Tribolium castaneum: one gene and its partners. The protein of the gene in region 2 interacts with the protein of the main gene of each other region in a biochemical or structural test. Links are inferred from orthologs where the notes say so. Each region holds a gene or a part of one and is shown on either strand. Other genes may lie near its edges. The genes, in order: UbcE2H, Uba1, ubiquitin-conjugating enzyme E2 J1 and ubiquitin-conjugating enzyme E2 W.

Region 1 (4,455 bases), on a different chromosome or scaffold from region 2:
CAGTTACTGCACTCACAATAGATCGTTTCGTTTAATGTGATTTTGTTACCGTTTTGATCATTAGGTGGTAAATGTACCAAATTTTTGAAGTACGATGTTAGTCAAGAAATCTTCCGTTCGTAGGTTTAAGTTACTGTTTGTATATACTGACTGATTGTTGATTGCATAGATTTATTTATTTTTCGGTTTAGTGGTGTGATAGGCAATTTATCAAAATTGTAAGACAAGTTTTGTACTTTTCAATAAAGGTATTGCCAGAACAACTGGTTTTTATTTCGAAACTTATATCCATTACCGTCTAACTAATTTCTCCAGCAAGAACCACGTGGAAGTTTAGAGCATTCTTGCCAGGAAAAAAGGAAGTAAGGATGAGGTAAACAATGATTATTACAAAATAAAGGGATAAAGGAATTATTGGTTTGTGAAATGAAAAAATACAACACAAAAATCGTTTTTTTTTCACTTAGCGTTAAATAAAATGCACTCACCTTTGATATGACATTTGCTTATGCTACTGTTTGTAGCAAGGCATTAAAAATAAATTAAAAACAAAAACAATAAAAAAATAATTTATTTGCATGAGAGCTACAACAAGCTGTTATAAATATTATACAAAATAAAGAATATACAATACGGTATAATATATAAATAAAAAAAGCACCTACCTTCATATGGTTTCTGCGTTGGCTAATGTTTGTAGCAAAACATAAAAAAAAATAAAACAACACCGTTGAAAAATCTTTATTTGTATGGAAGTTACAACAAGCGACTATTATCAATATTATACAAAATAAAGAATACACAATACGTTATAATATATAGCAATTAAACTATTAAATTCAACACCTCACAAGATAAATAGAAAAAAATACACCTACCTTCATTTGGCTACTGTTTGTAGCAAGACATTAAAAGATAAAATAAAAACAGCACCATTAAAAAACTTTATTTGCATTAAAGTTACAGCAAGGGACTCATAAATTGAAATTAAAGACAAAGTCACTGAAACTATCACTTTTCAACACCTCATTTAAAAAATTAATATGCACTTCCGCTACAGTTTGTAGCAAAATAATAAAAATAAATTGAATGGGGATGAAAGATTTAGACAGTGATTTGAGTTTTTGGCAGTTTTTTTTTTAATTGATGGTTTCTTTTCGTAATTCGGCTAGTTTTAATAGTAAAATATAATATTAAAAACAGCTTCGAAAACCACAAATGTGCCTATGTGTCCTTTGACATATCACTAAATTGTTATTTGTTATTCGTTACTGTGTTACAAATAAAAAAATATTTACAACAAAAACAAATAAACAACGGTATCAAGAACAAATTGCATGAATAACGTCAGATAACAAGCGTACCTGCTATCTTGAAATTGGCAAGTCTTAGCGACCATTTATGGTAGAAAAAAGTGAAAAAGCTGATTACGAGTGCCAGATTTATTTTTGGTTTATTTGTGTAATTGGCAATTTATCAAAATTGTGCGGTTTTCGTATTTTAATAAAGCCGAGATGGTTGCAAACAACCGCTCAATAATGTTTTAGCGATTTCAGTTGAGTGGTCATTAATGGTAAAAAGTGGAAAATCTGAAACGCAAAGTCACGATCGAGATGAGCGCAGACTCATAAACCGCCCCCGTTATAATTTATGCCACCTCATTTAAATTTCCAATTAAGAGGAATTAATCTCGGTAAACAATTTGGAATTGTGTCGAAAATTGTGCGATGTTATGAATAATTTAAAGCACGCGTGAGTGATTGAAAAAATGCGAGATAATTAGCGTAATCGCCACAATAGAATCTGGCGGTGATCGGCAAAGAGTCGCTGTGTGTTTGGGATTGAAAGTGGAGAATTGTGCGTAATTTGGAGAAATTTGTTCGTCCTTTTGTTCGAATAACATTTTTCCCCCCCAAATCTGTGGAGTCATGCGCAAGAGGGAGGCAGTAGGGAGTTTGTTGTCAAACGTGAAGGTTCACGAAAAACGTATGTGGATTGGTGGAATTCCTGTTGGGTTTTCGCCACGGCCATTGTGTGTCGAAGTGGTTACGTCTCAAGTGAAAGAGCAATTTCGTCGGAGTTTGGATTCATGGTAATATTTTTATGACAACAGAACCATGTCGTCTCCAAGTGCAGGAAAACGACGTATGGACACAGATGTTATTAAACTGTATCCTTTCTTTGTGTGCGATCCAAATGTAAACAACAACATTATCCTTTGTATCAGCTGATTGGGAAATTACACGTTATGTGACTCGTTAATAGGGCCATTTATTTTTTGGGTGCGTACTCCAATAGGCGAATACGTGTGCTATTTTTATCTATGAACAACCTTAAGATTCCTGACAATGTGTTATTGTCTTGTTTTTTAATCCTTAACACTGACTAGAATTGAAAGCAAACACGAAGTCACGATACTTGGCGGCTTGAACGAATTCTGTGTCAAATTTTACGGCCCCAGGGGCAGTAAGTCCTTCGGTTGCCCCATTTTACATTATTTTCATTGATGATTTCCAGCTCCGTATGAAGGGGGAGTGTGGAAAGTCCGTGTTCATTTACCTGAGCATTACCCTTTCAAATCACCTAGTATAGGCTTTATGAATAGAGTGTACCATCCAAATATAGACGAAATCTCAGGGACTGTCTGCTTAGATGTGATCAATCAGGCCTGGACAGCCCTTTATGGTATATCCTCGCCACTGCGAGATTTATTTCATTCCCGAGATTATTTTCCAGATCTTTCAAACATTTTTGAATCATTTCTTCCACAGCTGCTAACTTACCCGAACCCCATTGACCCGTTAAATGGGGACGCAGCAGCAATGTATTTACATAAACCCGAAGAGTATAAGAAGAAAGTCTCTGGTAACTGTTGACAAAAAAGCGATTGTGGTGTTAAGTTGTGATTTTTTAGAGTATGTACGTAAGTATGCAACTGAGGAGGCTTTAAGGGGGCAGGAGAACGTGAGTTCAGATAGCGAATCAACCATGTCAGATTTTTCAGAAAATGAAGCTGAAGACATGGAATTATAACGCAGGCTGTCTACCATTAAAAGCTCGCTCAATCCTCTCTTTGCTATGAATAACAAATTCTTTTTAGTGTTACATGTGATGTGTATTAGGTTTGATTTAATTGTTTTGCATTTTTTAGAGTTTATTATGTTGCACGTATTGCGAATTGCTTAATTTTTTTCAGAGGAAATGTTTTTTTAGATTTACAAATTAGTTGTAGTAACATTAATATCTCATTAATTTGCCTTATTATGTTAATATTGTGATGATATGAGCGTAGCGACATATTTATTTTATAGATTTAGTCAGAAGTAGAGGAAATTTTCATTGTTGTACACGTCATTGAAAGATTTCTGTTTCAAATAACGCAGCTGGAAGACCAATTTATGACTTTTTGTGATGTGTACTATTTGTTGTATTTACATAATGTCACAAACATTTTGTACAGTATGTTTCCTCTACTAATTTAGTTAGTGCAATAGATATAAGTTGTTGTCACTTGTATTAACTTTCAAGTTACACACACCATTGATATCATTATGGTCTCATTGTATATACATTAATTGTCTTTAATTTAATAATATATTTTTAATAAATGTATCTTTGGCAACATTTTTTCTTGCACTGTCAAATAATAGTCAAACATTTGTTTTGATATTTTGTTTTTGTATCAAAACAAAAAATAACACTGTCCATACATGATCCACATCACGAAAATGTTTGTAATTTTGATTATTACTAAGATAATAAGTGTAGGTCATTTGGTAGCATTTAACAGTAATAAAGAACTAAATTTATTACGTACGAGTGTCATTCACCCCAGCTAATGTTTCCTAAAACATTTATTTTATGATATCCCAGTTAAGTCTGCAAAAAGTTATTGTTGCAACCCATCGTTATCTATATTCATTTCTTGCGCAATGAACTAAATCGTAAAGAATCATTTGGATAGGAAAAGTTACGTGGAATAATATTTTTGTAATAAAAAAATGCCTCCATGTGCCTAAAATCCTATGCGTTTTATTGGAAGGGTGTATTCCCTAAAGTTATCCCTTGACCTTTGTATTATTGGTTGCATACGCGTGAAACCGAACATAAAAATAAATACTTGGATCGAATTTCCAGTTCTTTAATAAAACAAAAACACTCCCCACAACAATTGTACATTAGTTAGAGTTTCTAATACCACTTATAGATAAAGTTTTTACAAATGCTAAGATAAAACTACTATGAATTAAACGTGATTACTTGATTACCGCTTCATTCAATCGTTCATTCATAATGTGCAGCAAAGAAATAAAAACAAAACTAAATAAATAAAATATAAAATAAAAGATTCTACAATATTAACTATACAGACCCTTTAATTTAACCATTCAGTAGGCGCCTCAACTAACTAAATTCACCCCATTTAACACAAAGTGAAAAATAAAGAAGTTAAAT
Region 2 (5,359 bases):
ACAGCCGATCGCCCCAACAAATTCCGCAATCGATTCAGAAGGAGTTGGACAAGAGACAAATTAAAACAGAGTACTTGTTTAAAAATATGAGTTTTTTAGCCTAAATAAAAATTGTAGGATTCAGACGCCTAGACGCGGACACCGCAGGAACAAGTCCTTGGAAGAAAGCTCGAGCGATTCGAAAGTAGTTCGAGTGAAAAGCTCCGAGTCAGACGGAGGCCCCGTTCTGATAAATCGTTCCGGGTAATTTGCCTCAAGTTGTACAGTTGCACAAATTTTGTGATTTGAGCGACTGTATTAACTTGCTAGTGCAAAAAGTTAGCTTTTTAACATGAGGTTGTAATTCAGCACTTTCGACTCGAATAGTCCCGAAAGAGAACGCCAACTGGCAGGTAGGCGGTTTTCTGTGGCAAAACCGGACGAAAATGAGCCGTCAATGAATGGAGCACGACGCAAATTAGAGAAGAATTCACATATTTTTGGAAGCGTTATTTCCTTAACGGATGAAGAAGACATTTAATTAATATAGCTCGAGTGATACTGTAGCAATACATAATCTTATTTTAGTACGTTCTCCCATATTGTACCAATAGTTAATTTGAAGACACACTGTAGAATTAAACACTTGGAATATTCAAATTGTTACTATTAAAACAAGGTACAAATATACATTATTTTACTAGAAAATTGTGTTTATTTATCCTAAAATGGTGATTGGTGAAGGTTTCACAAAAATGAGGTAAGTATATCTTACACTGATATTATAGCTTCAGAAAATGTGAATTCTTCTCTTGACACAATTTTAATTGATCATTTTGAATGCAAACGAAATTTGTTATCGACTGACAAAGTAATAGCCATTGTGTTGAAAAAATTGATTAGATTAAACGCATAAATCACTTTATTCATCTAGTCTATTTCATGATTATCCTAAATCTTATCAAACAGTGGGAACTAATTTAATTTTAAAGTGGTGTTGATCGCTGGAAATTATTCCACTCGTGTGAATTTGGTAAGAATTAATTATTGTTGCCCTAATTAGGTACATTAGAAAAACAAATTCTAACAAGTAGTGCAAACAGTAAATTATGTTACCTTGTCACATCGATATAGAGCAAAATGATCATTTTCGTGGTGTTGTCCTTTCTTACAGGAATTTTCGTATGGTTTGTGGGAAAATTATTTTCGAGTAAATCGCTGTAAGTACTTTGTATATTTATTTAGATAAATTTAAGATGTTAAAGTTTACAACTCACACAAAAAAACATTCTAAAAATGAGCCATTGGTTAATTTTCTATTGTAATGCTATTGACAAATTTCGGGCCCACAAAACCATCACAAAAATAAACAATATTTTTGACTTACGTCATACTTGATACCTCAAAAAGGAGAGTGATCTTAAAAATATCTAATTATTGTCATTCAAAACGTGTTCAGGCATAAAATAATGCAAATGTTGCTCATATTTAATCAAAAACCTAGCAGATTAGTCACAAATGTTTATCACTTATCGCAGTTTTCCAGAACGTAGGTATGATTTATAAGTAATTATTAATTGTTATTAGCGAGTGCGGTGACATTATTTAACGATGCAAAATACAAAAAAAAAAAAACGTAAAGAAAGTATTGACCTTCCAAGCTACTGAAATACAAAGTTGAATGATTAAGTGTACAAAAATCGCCCTCCAATTTTGTAAAAACTGCTGCGTGACGGTAATACTTGGAATAATTTTTAATTTTCACTCTTTTTGTACCGTAAAATGCTGCTATTAAGAGTGAAATTTGTTATTGGAATAATTTAAAAAAATATCATTTTCAAACATTTTGACAATGACAATTCGTCAATGCTACAAATCGAAATGCAGGTAATACAAAACTCCCTACATTTTCAATTTTATCGTTTTTTTATGGACACAATGAAGGCAAAATAAAAAACGCATATTTCAGGTGTTTTATAAGACTTATTATCGCAACCATTGGGGCACTCCTCATCGGCACTAATTTTAAATGTGTTAAACACCGCCAGTAATGAGTACAATGGCACCAACAAAACAAATTTAAAAATTGTCAATCATGGCCTACGACGATACGGCCCCAATTTTCCTCCACAACCTTTCAAAATTAACGTAACTGTCAAAACAGATGTTAAAATGTTAAACAGTGTGCAGTCACTTGGGTCGTTTCGGTGCCCCCATTGCTCTGCTTAACAATCAGTGTGAATCTTTCGCGACAATTTCCAATTTAGCGCGTAAGTTTGCAGAATTGTGGGAGTGCGTGAATCACGCATTCCGGCATGCGCATTCGGCCCGTGGTCTCTTTGTTCGTTCGTTGTGCGCCTTCAGCCAGCGTTGTGTCTAAATCCAAGTGAAAAAACCGGCCAATTGACATTGCTATATGGTTATCAGCGCGCAAATTCCTCGATTGACCCGCAACTAATCAAACTGTGTCCTTTCGTGTCCGATGTCTAGTGCTGAAATCGCCGAAGGCTCCGTCGATCCCCCAACTAAGAAGCGGAAGCTTGACTCGTGCCCGATTTCAACCGACATGGCGAACAACGGCGCTTCCGGATCGTCTCAGCAGGACATCGACGAGGGTCTGTACTCGCGCCAGCTCTACGTCCTGGGGCACGACGCCATGCGGCGCATGGCCTCCAGCGACGTGCTGGTCTCAGGCCTGGGCGGGCTCGGCGTCGAGGTGGCCAAGAACGTCATCCTCGGCGGGGTCAAGTCCGTCACGTTGCATGACGAAGCCGTTTGCAGCGTCGCCGACCTCTCGTCGCAGTTCTACTTCACCGAAGCCGACGTGGGCAAGAACAGGGCCGAGGTCTGCTGCAAGCAGCTGGCGGAGCTCAACACCTACGTCCCCACGAAGGCCTACACGGGCCCCCTGACGCCGGACTTCATCCGCAAGTTCCGAGTCGTTGTCCTGACCAATAGTTGTCTCGCTGAGCAGATGCAAATCAGCGAAATCACACATGCCAGTAACATTGCGCTCATTGTGGCCGATACGAGGGGGCTCTTTGCCCAAGTGTTCTGTGATTTCGGGGATGCTTTCACGGTCGTTGACACCAACGGGGAGTCGCCGGTCTCGGCGATGATCGCTGATATTTCCACCGATAAAGAAGGTGGGTACAAAGAACCTAATGGAAGGCATTGTTACACAATGACTAATCTTGACGTTGTACGTCGGGTTATATTGGCAATTATTGTGCAATCAACCTGATCATGTGGCTAAAATTAATCCGATGTTAGAAGTTTGCCTTTGTTTTCCTTGCGATGTGCGAAGGTATGGAGTGAAAATCCCCAAAGGGCACTATATCAGTACTCAAATACCGTATGGTCAAATAAATCTGTCATCCTAATAAATTAAACATAATTCGAGACTATTCATAAAACCTAAAGCCATTTATTGGCTTACCAAAGTAGCAGTCGAATGGCATTAAACTTTGTGTAAATGTTGAGAAAATGTTGTAAAAAACATGTGATTTTATTAAAAATAGATGCTGTACTATCCCTTTTTTCCTCCTGTAAACTACCACTTGTGTGGAGGGTAGGAGGTTGATATTTTGAAGGTGAGCTGTATATTTATTAAAAAAATCTTTAGGTTTGTTAGTTAAATACCGGGTCAAGAAATAACCCACTATTGACTCACCCTGTACTTCAAACAATATCTTACCTAATAGAACAACTTGGTAAGATCAGCTAAAGAAGCACTGCAATCACAAAACTTCTATAATTTTATCTTGATGCAACTTAAATGATCTCCAAGCATTCAGTATTCAACTATTTTATTAAATAAAATAGCTTAAAATAGAGATTTTTTATTTTATTTTTAAACGAAACTTTTTTAAATTCATATTCGATACAGTTCTGAGTAATAATGACACCATTTCATACTAAGATTTATTTAAATGTAAGTCGTCTGAAAACTAGATCAAATATTTTTGATTGCAACTAAGAAAATTTCAGAAATTGATATTGTTGTTAAAGCATAAATTACATTATTGAAGCCACATTTTTTATGGAAACCAAAAGAAAACTCTGTATTTTTTTATTCGAAAATTGGTTTAAACACTTTTCCTTTTCCCATTCTCAGTACAGTAAAGCTTTGTCAAATTTTAGTATCGTAATCTAAAAAGTCTTATTTTGTCAATTTTTTTATGCTGTTGAAAAATTATTATGTCTGTTTTTAATGACCCAAATGTATCAGGACAAATCCAATTTAAATGTTCAATCTTATTTTTATCGATAAAGTGGGTAACACAATGTTAACATGAAAAAAATTAAAAATCTGGGTCTGGGTTAACTGAATTACACATGACACTCGATTTTTTTTTGTAAAATTTGCCTTTTGAGTCAATTGACAGGCAATTACAGGGTAATTCCATTTTTTACGAGATATAGCTCTCCAAATGTTAGATTTTTCGATTAAGTTTTTGGCAGATCATTTTTTCTTGAATTTAGTTAGCAGGAATGACACTAATTGATGATTTACGTTCAAAACAATTAATCAAAGTAGCAAATTTGACAATAAATTCGCCAATATTGGGAACAGAGGCGCAACATTTAAAAGAGTGTCTCAGGAAAAATATTAAAAATTAAAAGTTAAATTATCAGAAAAAAAATCTAAATTAATTTTTAATGTTAGCGGAACGTCTTTGTGGGCTTTTATCATCAAAAATCAACTATTTGGCTATTATTAATTATTATTATCTATTAGGTATAATTTCTTTTCTCTCGATATGTGATATGTTATTCACATTTGGATTATTAATGATCAAGAAAATTAATAGAGTAGTGAAGCAGCTTACTCGTAATACAGTTTTTATTTGATTATATTGGTTTCTGTTTTATTTCATTGCAAAAGCAGCTATTTAATGATCATTGTTGTAACGTCTATAAACAATGGGTTAATGAATTCGTACTATTTTTAGCTTTTCTACAATTGAAAAAAGATGAAATTTGCTCAAAGACCTCTAAAATTAAATTCTTTCAAATCACTAATTTTCTGTTTTTATTACATGTCATCAAAATACGTATAACAAAAAATGCAAATCAATGTTTTGTATAAAGAGTAGGTATTTGTCTACGCAATTCAAAATAACCATAATTGTGTAAATAAAGTGGTCTGCGTTATAAACATTTATTTTCGTCCTAAGCTAAAAACAAATCGGACATTGAGACAGATACCTTAAAAAAATAAAAGATTAGAAAAATGTTGCATCATTTTTTTAGCGCAATTCTGTCGTGAATCTCACTATCGAGAATTTCAATTGATTTTAGATACGTGTAAGGTAAAGGTCATGCGAAACAACGATGCCGTGTAACAAAACTTCTGTCCTTAATAAACATCGATTTA
Region 3 (5,413 bases), about 21 Mb from region 2:
TTCACTTATTTCACTTATTGAAAATGGTGCGATGGTAGCTCAAGATACAAATTCTGGGACAATGCTTTAATTTTTTTATTGAAATCACGGATCGGTGTGTTTTTTTATCTAAAATTATTATAATTGCATCTCCGTCTATACACTAAATATAGACTTTTTGTTGGAACATTTTAATATCTAAACAAGAATGTTTGAACAGTTAACTCTTTTCCTGGCAGCAGTCATCCCTGCAGCAAAACTCTTTTTATTGAAATCACGGATTGGTATGATTTTTTTTAATCTGAAATTATTATAATTGCACCTCCGTCTACACCCTAAATATAGACTTTTTGTTGGAACATTTTAATATCTAAACAAGAATGTTTGAACAGTTAACTCTTTTCCTGGCTTCAGTCATCCCTGCAGCAAAACTTTTTTTAATAAAATTTACTTAAAATTAAAAACTTAAGCATATTTAATCTCGTGGAATTATTTTACTCTTCATAGCAAAAATTAAAAACATCCGCAACACTTTTACATATTTGTAAATTATTGAAAAAATGTCACACTGCAGCTCGATTTATTTAAGCTCCACTTACTTGTATATCTGTTAAGCCTACAGCTTTGTTAAGCGTAACTCATTAAAAGTTACTCATAACTTTATCATATTTTTCGAAAGTTTACCCGATTAAAAATGAAAGTAATGAACTAAAATCTGTTTTCTGCGATGATTACGAGAAACTGTGAGAGAGACAAAAAATGTTACTAAAAGTTTTCATAAAAACCGATGTTCTTTTGATTGCTATTAAAGACTATTCAAACCTTCGGTTATCGAATGCAAAAAAAAATCAAATTGGCGCCAATTTCTCAATTTCTGGAAGTTCGAACATTTTGAAAAAAATTATTACTTGAACTCAGAATGGTCGATTTGGTTTGTATACAAAACTTTAATTTGCAATTTTACATAATCTAATACAAAAAACTGACTACCACTTTTCGTAAGTTTGACCTAGAGAAAAATTTTGGCAATTTTCACATATTATACCGAGCAACTGTTAATGATTGTGACTTTTGTGGTCAAGTTGATAACGAATTTGTAAACTTATGACTGTCAGATGAAACAGCTCCATACAAAAAGCTAGCAGGGAGGCCAATAACTCAATGTTGCTAATACATTTTTTTGCCTCGATCATTAAAAGTCACAGTGACACCGAATTATGGTAGGAGATATCTTTTAGAAAAAAAATCCTCATACCAGATGGATCTAATCTGTTGTTTAGGGTTTTCCCCTAATTTTTTTCGATACCTATGGTTTGTTATACTATTTCTATCCAATAATTAAGTGAAAAACAAGTTACTAACACTCCGTGATTCAAGTAGTATCGGACCAAATTTTAATTTTTCCTTTAAAAAGTTTTATTTTTCGTTTTGATGAATCACAATATTTTGGATTAAGCGCCTATTAATAATCAACTACGAATATTTACATTTACCTGAGAAAAATTGTAAACCCTTCGTCTAGTGAATGTCTTCAAGCGACCAGAAACAAATCCACTATCAACACTAAATAATTAGTAGAACACAAACCAAAAACGATTATGAACACATAACAAACGTTTTTAAACGAAATTAATAATAAATCTTTAGCACAACACGTTTTTACTTCGGATTTGACAACACCACAGAACATGACAGGTGCAAAATCGGCGGGGAATTACTGTAGTGCTGAAATACTACCAACCTAACAGTACCTAGGCACTAAACACCCAGATCTAAGTGATTTTATTACAGTCGCAGGCCTCGTAAAATTACGTGAAACACCTTGTATTTGCAATTGGGTGATTTTGTTTAGTTCACTCTATAATCTGTATATCTAAGCCAGCTCTAACGAAATATACAGAGTTGAAAGTGGTATTGTTTTTTCTAACCTCAATCATTTTAAACTACTGACGACTCACGTTAAATAAAACTGAAAAATAACCACTTATCTACAAATTACCTACCTTTTAAATTCCTGATAGACGTTTCACCAATCTCAACGAGCCACAACGTTTCTGCTGTTGAAAGTCCACGTTTGTAATTTGCAGAATCAGCTGATTGTTTTGACAGTTCGCCTAAACAAGAAACATGACAAGTTTTTGTACCCGTTTCGGCACTTCTTAAATATTTCTGTACAAAATTAGTGTTGTCTTTATCCTTACTTTTAGTACAAACGTTCAGTTTATTAGTGATTGAGACCTACCAAAGCATGTCGTTAGAAAATAAGTATAACCTAAAAAGCCCAGGTAAGAAATCGGATATTTAAGTGATTCTCGACAAATTTCCAATGTAAACAGGGGTGAAACGTCTCATGCGCGAAGCGCGAGAACTGGCCGAACCCACAGAAGAATATTTCGCCCATCCGTTGGAAGACAACTTGTTTGAATGGCATTTCACAGTGCGAGGCCCCCCTAGCACGGAGTTTGAGGGCGGTTTCTACCACGGACGTATTCTTTTACCCTCACAGTATCCCATGCAGCCCCCCAATATTATTTTGTTAACAGTGAGTCAATTTTGTAATAATTGTTCATTGTTATTTCATTCTGCAAACTCGTAGCCAAATGGGCGCTTCGAGGTGAACAAAAAAATTTGCTTGTCTATCTCTGGACATCACCCGGAGAGCTGGCAACCGTCGTGGTCGATAAGAACAGCCTTGTTGGCTTTAATTGCTTTCATGCCGACTCCTGCAGCCGGCACGATTGGTTCCTTGGACTACACCCCAGAAGAAAGACAGATTTTAGCAAAGAAATCCATCAATTGGGAGTGTCAAATTTGCGGTAAAATTGCAGAGACGCTTTCTTCGCAGTCAAAATCGTCAAATATTACTCAGGAAGAGGCTTCCCTTATCCAGCAGATTGCTCTCAAGGTGAGTAAATAATTTTTTTAATTGAAGACTTTTTCGCAAAAGAAAACGCGAGTATTTATATTTTTTTAAATCTGTAAACTATATTTAAAAAAATAGGCTTTTGGGATTTAAAAACTATTTTTTAATCGTACTGAAAAATCTGCAAATAATTTCAAAAGACTTATAGTTTTTACCAGCGAATAGGGATGGTTTTTACCATGTTTTTATGTTTTTGTGTGTTTCAACATGTTTTTCAGTCCGAAACGCAGTTCTTTCGCGTAATATCTAAAAAGTAATTTGCTATCAAAACCACATGTTTATGTGTCATTTCTGTTGTTTTAAGGTATTTTCTTATCAACAATTTAACATTTTTAAGGACATATTTTTGTTATATGGTATACGAGTGGTGTAAATCTTATTTTAACGAAAGGTACGTTATTTCTGAACAATTTTTATATCTCATAATTTTTTGTATCAGCATTGGTTTTTGAGTACAAAAATAATTTAAGTAATTTCTAAGGTTGCCATCTAATACAAAGACTGACCCAAAAGTAGCGTACAAAATTTATATCTTTGTTATGTCATTAAAAAAAAAACAGGTCGATTTAATTTTTTTAAATGCTACATTTTGATTATATTATATTTATGATGTCATTCGTTTTTGAGTTGTGACATAATTCTTAATTTTTTTTTAATGACAACTGACATTTTTGTTCACTGTTTTAGAAAGTAAAGATGTGCTTTTTCTAAAACAGTAAACAAAAATGTCAGTTATAATCTAGCTGATAATAAAAAACAAAATTAAAAATTAAACATAATGAGCTTTATTTCTTTGTTCTCGATTTATTTTATAAGCGGCAATTGTTTTTTATATTTTTTTATAATTATCATGAAAATACTTAAGAACTAATAGGAAGACTTTACACAAAAAAATAAGAATAATAAGAACGAGAAGATAAAGCTTTTTGTGTAATACTCTCACTAACTTTTATAACTTTTTTATTTTATTTTCTTCTTTCTTTTTAATTGTTTTATACTTATCAGAAAGATAGAAATGTATACTATCTAAAACACCAATCAAAAATATCAGTTGTCATTTAAAAAAATTAAAAATGACGTCGTTACTCAAAAAAGAATGATGTCAGAAATATCAATATGATGTCAAAATGTAGCATTTAAAGAAATAAAAACGCGTGTTTGAGGATTTTTTTGAAAAATGATTCAAAACAAAGATACGATTTTTATGCATGACTTTTGGTTCAGTCTTTATTTTTCTTTCTCTTAAATTTTTTTATACTTACCAGGAAGTCAGAAATATATTACCTATAAAAAACTATAAAAACACCAAAATCGTATTTTCTCTCAAAATTAGCTATTATAAATTATTCAATTACTTTATGAGAGATCTAAGCATTCATAACTATTCTAAATTAAATTGGACGTGTTGGGGGATTTTTTTGAAAAATGATACGGTTTTGCATTACTTATGTTTTAGCTTCTTTATGTAAGTTTATGTTAATTATTTATTTATGTTTATGTTTATTATGTAAATAATTAATTAGTTATTAATTTAAACAAAAAAAGGCATTTTCCACACAGTTGTGAAGTGGTTGTGAACTTATCTAAAACAACTAATTAATGTCTACACTGTTGTTTTGGAAAATTAATAAGATATATTAGATTTTATAAGACACAGAAATTGTTCAAAAATAATGGATCTTTCAAATAAAAAAATGGGTATAAAAGAATGAACATATAAGAAAAATATGGCTTCAGATATATAAAATTGGTTATAAGTAAGTACTTTACAATAGTAAACAAATGAAATATCACGCAAGTTACGTGTATCAAATTTCATTTAAAAAAGTAAGTTGTGAAGAAAAACCAAAATAATTTTTGAACTTTTAAACAGTGTAACTTTGGTTAAATCGCTTTATTTTGATTTTTGACCTGCGGAGTCTCTCGTTCCTTTTTGTCATCTTTTCGTTACACCCTGTATTATTCTTGATTGTTTTATTGACTGGGCAAAGAGGTTATAGACATGTGATTCTATTTTCAACAAGAATACGGTTCTAGATCTCTATTTAAAATATCATACTCGTAACTACTCATAACTGAACAAAATTGTAAAATTCCGTTATTTCAAGGCGGAGGAAGATGCAAACCGCAAAGAAAAATCTGCAGATAAAAAAGAAGATTCTGATGAGACTAATGTTAGACAGAGAGTAACAATAAACACCCCAAGTGCTGAAACTATAAATGAACCGATTACGGATGTTATAATGGAAACGGAAGTTTCAATTAATCCAAGTACTGTGTAAGTATTAGCATAAAAACCATGTAATGTTTGTTTGTAATTATTGTAACACTTTTAGAGATCAAGTATTCAATGTCGTTGTGTGGGTCATCGTATTTGTGATAGTTCTCCTTATAGGACGAAGATTTTTCTTGTTGGAATGATAGTGATAAATTTTTCATGTAAATAATTTTAATCATAGAGTACCTAATCTGTATACTAAAGCCAAAAACTACTAGAAGATTAATAAATTG
Region 4 (4,519 bases), about 2.3 Mb from region 2:
TTCGTTAAATTTCGTTGTCATTTTACCTCCCACTGCCTTTATTATAGCGTTTCCTGCACAAATATCCCACTTCTTGATGGCAGTTGTGTGCAAATAAGCGTCCACATTGCCCAAGGCAACTTCCAAAGCTTTATAGCCAGCACCGGCGGCTTCAATTATGTCCACATTTTTCATTTTTTCACTCAAAACTTTCTTTATTTCACCGCTGTGCGACATTGAGATTATAATCTTTATATTTTCACTCTTGCTCCTCTAAAAGACAAATTTATAACCTGATCACCATGTGACAGTGTTGTATACCTACCGCATATTTTAAGTTTGAAGATTTTGCTTTGCCAACCCATGCCCAAAATGTGTGAGATTCAGTGTTAAAAGGTTTGTGAATGACACCAATAACAGGTTCTTCTTTTACAGCAACGCAAACCATTGTAGTCACATACTTGTACAATTTTCCTAACAAAGATTCACTTAACAAATGCTTAAAATGCAAGTATTTAGTACAGTACCAGTGTATTCATAAGTTGCATCTAGTGGATCAATCCATACAGAAATATCCCTAATTTCTTCCAAATGGTCATCTAAGCTCTTAGGAATGGTTACATGTCCCAAGTAATCGATTTCTCTGTCGTCACACTGGACCTTTTTCTCCTCTGAAATTATATGCAGGGTGGGATATGCATGTTTCAAAGTTTTCATAATAGCACAGTGTGACGAATAATCTGCAGTGGTGACCCTATCTTGCATTCCTTCTTTCGTCAACCCTTTGCTTTTTACTTGTAAATTGTCCTTGTTCGCAACCACTTCTTTGCCCCCATTTTCCGCTGCCTTAATTGCTACCTCCAAGAGCTGCTTTAAATTTATCTTAACGCTTGGAGGATCATTATTTGAACTTGTAGTAAACACGTAAATAAACAATATCAGCACAGCTCCCGATATTACACACAGCCCTGTCTTGTTTAGTCGGATAACACCCCCAAGATTCATTGTTATGCAGCCGATGAGTCTCTATCTACATCATTCGCTTTTTGTACTTATTTACTAAAATATTTTCAATTAATCAACCAATATCATTCAATACCACCGGTCTTACAGTTGAATAACAATTATCTTAAGACTATTTAGAAACAAACGTCATCGCATTTTTGCACCTTACAAATAATCAAAAAAACCTTCAACCACAATAATGGTGAAGTTAGTCACAAAATCACCAAACGCTAAACGTCATTTTCAAGGATAGGGCATAGGCATAGGCGTGCGAAATTTTTTTCATAATACAGATAATAACTGTGATAATAATAATAAAAGCACTACCACAAGCAGTACTATTTGCTTCCCAATTTAAATTTTACATTTGTTTTAGAAATCCACCGGGTGGTTATCAAATATTGTATAAAACAATCATAGCCAACTTACGTCAAATGTCGCTGCGCTCCATGGAGTTTTTGTTTAGGAAAAAAAATCTATGTTAAACTTAATCTCAGCGACACACTTTGAGCTAAGAAAACCCACCAAAAACTCTCAATTTGTGCTCCTTTTAATCAAAAAATGCTGTTGCAAAATTCTACTGTAAACTGAAATGAATATATATATTTGCTTTCCTGCTAATTCCGGTCAATAATTAAGTAAAAAACAACTTCTTAACACTCTGCAATTCAAGTACTACCGGACCAAATTTTACATTCAGTTCATTTTTATAAAAAAACATTTTGGTGGAAATTGGGTACTCTTGGCATTAACTTTTATATGAGTTGTCATAGTAAAATCTTAGTTAATTCCGCCACAATGTTTTTTATGAAAATGAACCAAAATTAGTTTTTTTTTAATAACGTTTTATTTTATATTTAGGATTAAGCCCTTATTAATAGACAACTATATTCGGTTCACTTTCATAAAAACCATTGTAGTAGAAATTTGGTACTCTTGGCATTAACTTTTATATGAGTTGTCAAACCGAAAATAGAAATATAACTTTTCTGTGACATAGCGGAAAATCAAATCAGTCAAATTGTGGTATTAAAAAAATTCGACACTTTTGATGAATCTTTTAAAAAAGCGTTCACCATAGGGCACTTGGGTCTTGGTTTTTCTATAGTAGTGTATACATAAGACAAATCGTTGAGGCTGGCAAAAAAATCCTCGATTTGTCCCCATGGTCTCTCCGCCACTGGCGGGAATGAATAATAGAATTATTTACTTTGGAACCATGGTTATCTGTCCATTGTTCGTGAATTGAGGAGCATTGGGGGACAGTAGGTAATTTGGTCGGTTGTTTTGAACGTCAAAAGTAAGTTTTTGGCTATTTATTTGAAGCTAAATTAAAGTCTGTTGATCTGTGTTCAGTTAAAATCTCACAATCTAATCTGTGGTATGATGAAAAGTTAATTCCAAAATGGCAGGGTTGTCGCCGTCTGAAGTAAGTAAATTGCATTGTTTTTCTAACCTCTTCACGAAATCTCTCAATTTAGAGAAGGTTGCAAAAGGAGCTCATGTCACTGATGAAAGAACCTCCACCAGGAGTTGAAGTCGACTTCGATCTGGCAGAGCAAAATTTATTGCAGTAAGTTAGCAATAAACTGCCAATAACAATGCTAAATACATGACTTCTAGTTGGATCATTAATATGGAAGGGGCTGCAGGTACATTGTACGAAGGAGAACGTTTTCAATTGCAGTTTAAATTTAGTAACAAATATCCCTTTGATTCACCAGAAGTATGGGATTTTTTGTTAGACTAGTATTGTGTTTATATTGTTTGCGTTCCAGGTGACGTTTGTAGGCAATAACATTCCAGTTCACCCGCATATTTACAGCAATGGACATATTTGCCTTTCCATATTAACAGATGATTGGTCTCCTGCACTGTCTGTTCAGTCTGTTTGTCTTTCAATTGTTTCTATGCTCAGTAGTTGTAAAGAAAAGGTGAGACCTTATTTAGTATTACAGTATTTTTAATCTTGTTTTACAGCAAAGACCTCCCGATAATGCTTTCTATGTAAAAACTTGCAATAAAAATCCAAAGAAGACAAAGTGGTGGTATCACGGTATTATCTCCTATAATGTAACCCACAATTCCTGATTATTTTATGTTTCAGATGATTCTGTATGAAACTATATAAATAACTTATGGTCTTGTGATTTTAATGATTCTGTTACGCTGGATGCTGTTAGTTTTAAATTTTTAATAGATGTTATTTATTATGACAAAGCTAATTATAAAATATCTTTAGAATTGGATTAACAGTTTTTACATAGTGCCTGTCCTCCAGATGTTGTGTTGTAATTAATTAAATATAAGAGTTAAAATTAATATTTTAAACCCGCCCTGGGCTGTTGCTTATTTCTTACCCGTGTACAAATTTTACGTCTATCAATTAACAAAATCAAAACCGAAAAATCTTTGTTTTAAAGGATTCCTTAATTATCGGACTCGTTTCTGATAAATAAATGAGAAAAAAAAATTAGGAGAAAATAAACGCAACCCAACATACACGCACCTAATTTTCGTTAGGTTGGTATTAAAGGCGTGGTCGGGGATTTACCCACATATGTGAAGACAATCACTTGACATTTATCAAAGCGCATTCGAAATAGTATGTTACGTGTCATGTGGGTGCAGCAAAATTAAATTTTCGATTTAAAGACGTATCTAAGCACGAACTCAGATACAAAATTTTGATGATGTACTAAAAGGCTCTTCTGGGTTACCTTTTGTTTTTGGTAGTAGCTGCGGTAGTGTTTTTTTTTGAAGTGAATATAAACCATAAAGGCTAAGAAGGTTTGAATAAAAGTACATTGGTTCAAATGCAATTTGGTAACACGTCATCGTCATTGTCTGGATAAAGTGTGTTGCAACGTGCAATATTAATTTTACCTTTGTCTTTGTCTTGATGAGCCTTGTACTTTGTTACTTAATTATTACCTGCTATTAATTTGGTATGAATCCCGAAAAACCAAAACCTGAAGTTCCAGCAGGGGCCGGAAGCAGTTGGAGAAATTCCACAGGTAAGAAAATGTGAACCAATATAAGTATTAAGTGAATCTTTTTATAAATCATAAAGACTATAAATGGGCACAATAAAAAAAGAGTTCCAATTACACTGTGTGAAAACAAATATTTTAATTTAGACGAAATAACTATACTAAATATTCCATCGCTTAATCGGATAACAATTTGCTGTGGTACCATTTAATAGGTATTTGTTAGAAAAAACTTTGGTAGGAATTTTATTACACCCTCGGACTCCACTATTTTAATAACTACGAGGTTGTGACTCTTGGTTATGTAACCTTCTGAGCTTTTGAATCCTCACCCGTAGTGCAATTTCCAGGCGCTTGTTTGTAATAAAATAATGTAGTACTATTGTTAATATTACTGCTACTATTTCTGTAAATTTATATTACTGCTTAAGAACAAAAGGACTTAAATCAATGTTTATTATTAGAATTCCCCTGGAGTCAGGCATCTGTTGTATACCTCAGACCTCTGCCAATGGAGTTATTTTGGTCTTTTGCTTTCGAGA

What was found.
Region 1: of the proteins of Uba1 (region 2) and UbcE2H, one has a biochemical effect on the other in vitro, tested with the Homo sapiens proteins (3 studies listed by BioGRID, with this or other methods). The link is inferred for Tribolium castaneum from reciprocal best matches to the Homo sapiens genes UBA1 and UBE2H.
Region 3: the proteins of Uba1 (region 2) and ubiquitin-conjugating enzyme E2 J1 form a complex in vitro, tested with the Homo sapiens proteins (2 studies listed by BioGRID, with this or other methods). The link is inferred for Tribolium castaneum from reciprocal best matches to the Homo sapiens genes UBA1 and UBE2J1.
Region 4: of the proteins of Uba1 (region 2) and ubiquitin-conjugating enzyme E2 W, one has a biochemical effect on the other in vitro, tested with the Homo sapiens proteins (5 studies listed by BioGRID, with this or other methods). The link is inferred for Tribolium castaneum from reciprocal best matches to the Homo sapiens genes UBA1 and UBE2W.

What each region holds. Positions count from the first base shown.
Region 1 is NC_087403.1:5,361,017-5,365,471, reverse strand, and holds UbcE2H (ubiquitin-conjugating enzyme E2 H), read left to right. Parts: upstream 1-1,972; 5' UTR 1,973-2,117; coding exon 2,118-2,170; intron 2,171-2,389; coding exon 2,390-2,466; intron 2,467-2,517; coding exon 2,518-2,685; intron 2,686-2,736; coding exon 2,737-2,865; intron 2,866-2,914; coding exon 2,915-3,033; 3' UTR 3,034-3,174; downstream 3,175-4,455. Other genes in the region: Creld (cysteine-rich with EGF-like domain protein 2), read left to right, coding at 1-21. UniProt on the Homo sapiens protein: Accepts ubiquitin from the E1 complex and catalyzes its covalent attachment to other proteins. E2 ubiquitin conjugating enzyme that transfers ubiquitin to MAEA, a core component of the CTLH E3 ubiquitin-protein ligase complex.
Region 2 is NC_087394.1:32,756,409-32,761,767, forward strand, and holds the start of Uba1 (ubiquitin-like modifier-activating enzyme 1), read left to right. Parts: upstream 1-2,109; 5' UTR 2,110-2,461; coding exon 2,462-3,125; intron 3,126-5,359. Other genes in the region: Klp54D (kinesin-like protein KIF12), read left to right, coding at 1-70, 118-243, 349-520. UniProt on the Homo sapiens protein: Catalyzes the first step in ubiquitin conjugation to mark cellular proteins for degradation through the ubiquitin-proteasome system.
Region 3 is NC_087394.1:12,100,846-12,106,258, forward strand, and holds the start of ubiquitin-conjugating enzyme E2 J1, read left to right. Parts: upstream 1-2,130; 5' UTR 2,131-2,227; coding exon 2,228-2,264; intron 2,265-2,315; coding exon 2,316-2,521; intron 2,522-2,575; coding exon 2,576-2,884; intron 2,885-5,010; coding exon 5,011-5,180; intron 5,181-5,238; coding exon 5,239-5,323; 3' UTR 5,324-5,413. UniProt on the Homo sapiens protein: Catalyzes the covalent attachment of ubiquitin to other proteins. Functions in the selective degradation of misfolded membrane proteins from the endoplasmic reticulum (ERAD) and is essential for cells to recover from ER stress.
Region 4 is NC_087394.1:30,472,641-30,477,159, forward strand, and holds ubiquitin-conjugating enzyme E2 W, read left to right. Parts: upstream 1-2,126; 5' UTR 2,127-2,284; intron 2,285-2,340; 5' UTR 2,341-2,389; coding exon 2,390-2,413; intron 2,414-2,465; coding exon 2,466-2,557; intron 2,558-2,607; coding exon 2,608-2,710; intron 2,711-2,762; coding exon 2,763-2,918; intron 2,919-2,964; coding exon 2,965-3,040; intron 3,041-3,091; coding exon 3,092-3,105; 3' UTR 3,106-3,306; downstream 3,307-4,519. Other genes in the region: putative inositol monophosphatase 3, read right to left, coding at 1-252, 305-453, 507-984; NFX1-type zinc finger-containing protein 1, read left to right, coding at 3,935-4,001. UniProt on the Homo sapiens protein: Accepts ubiquitin from the E1 complex and catalyzes its covalent attachment to other proteins.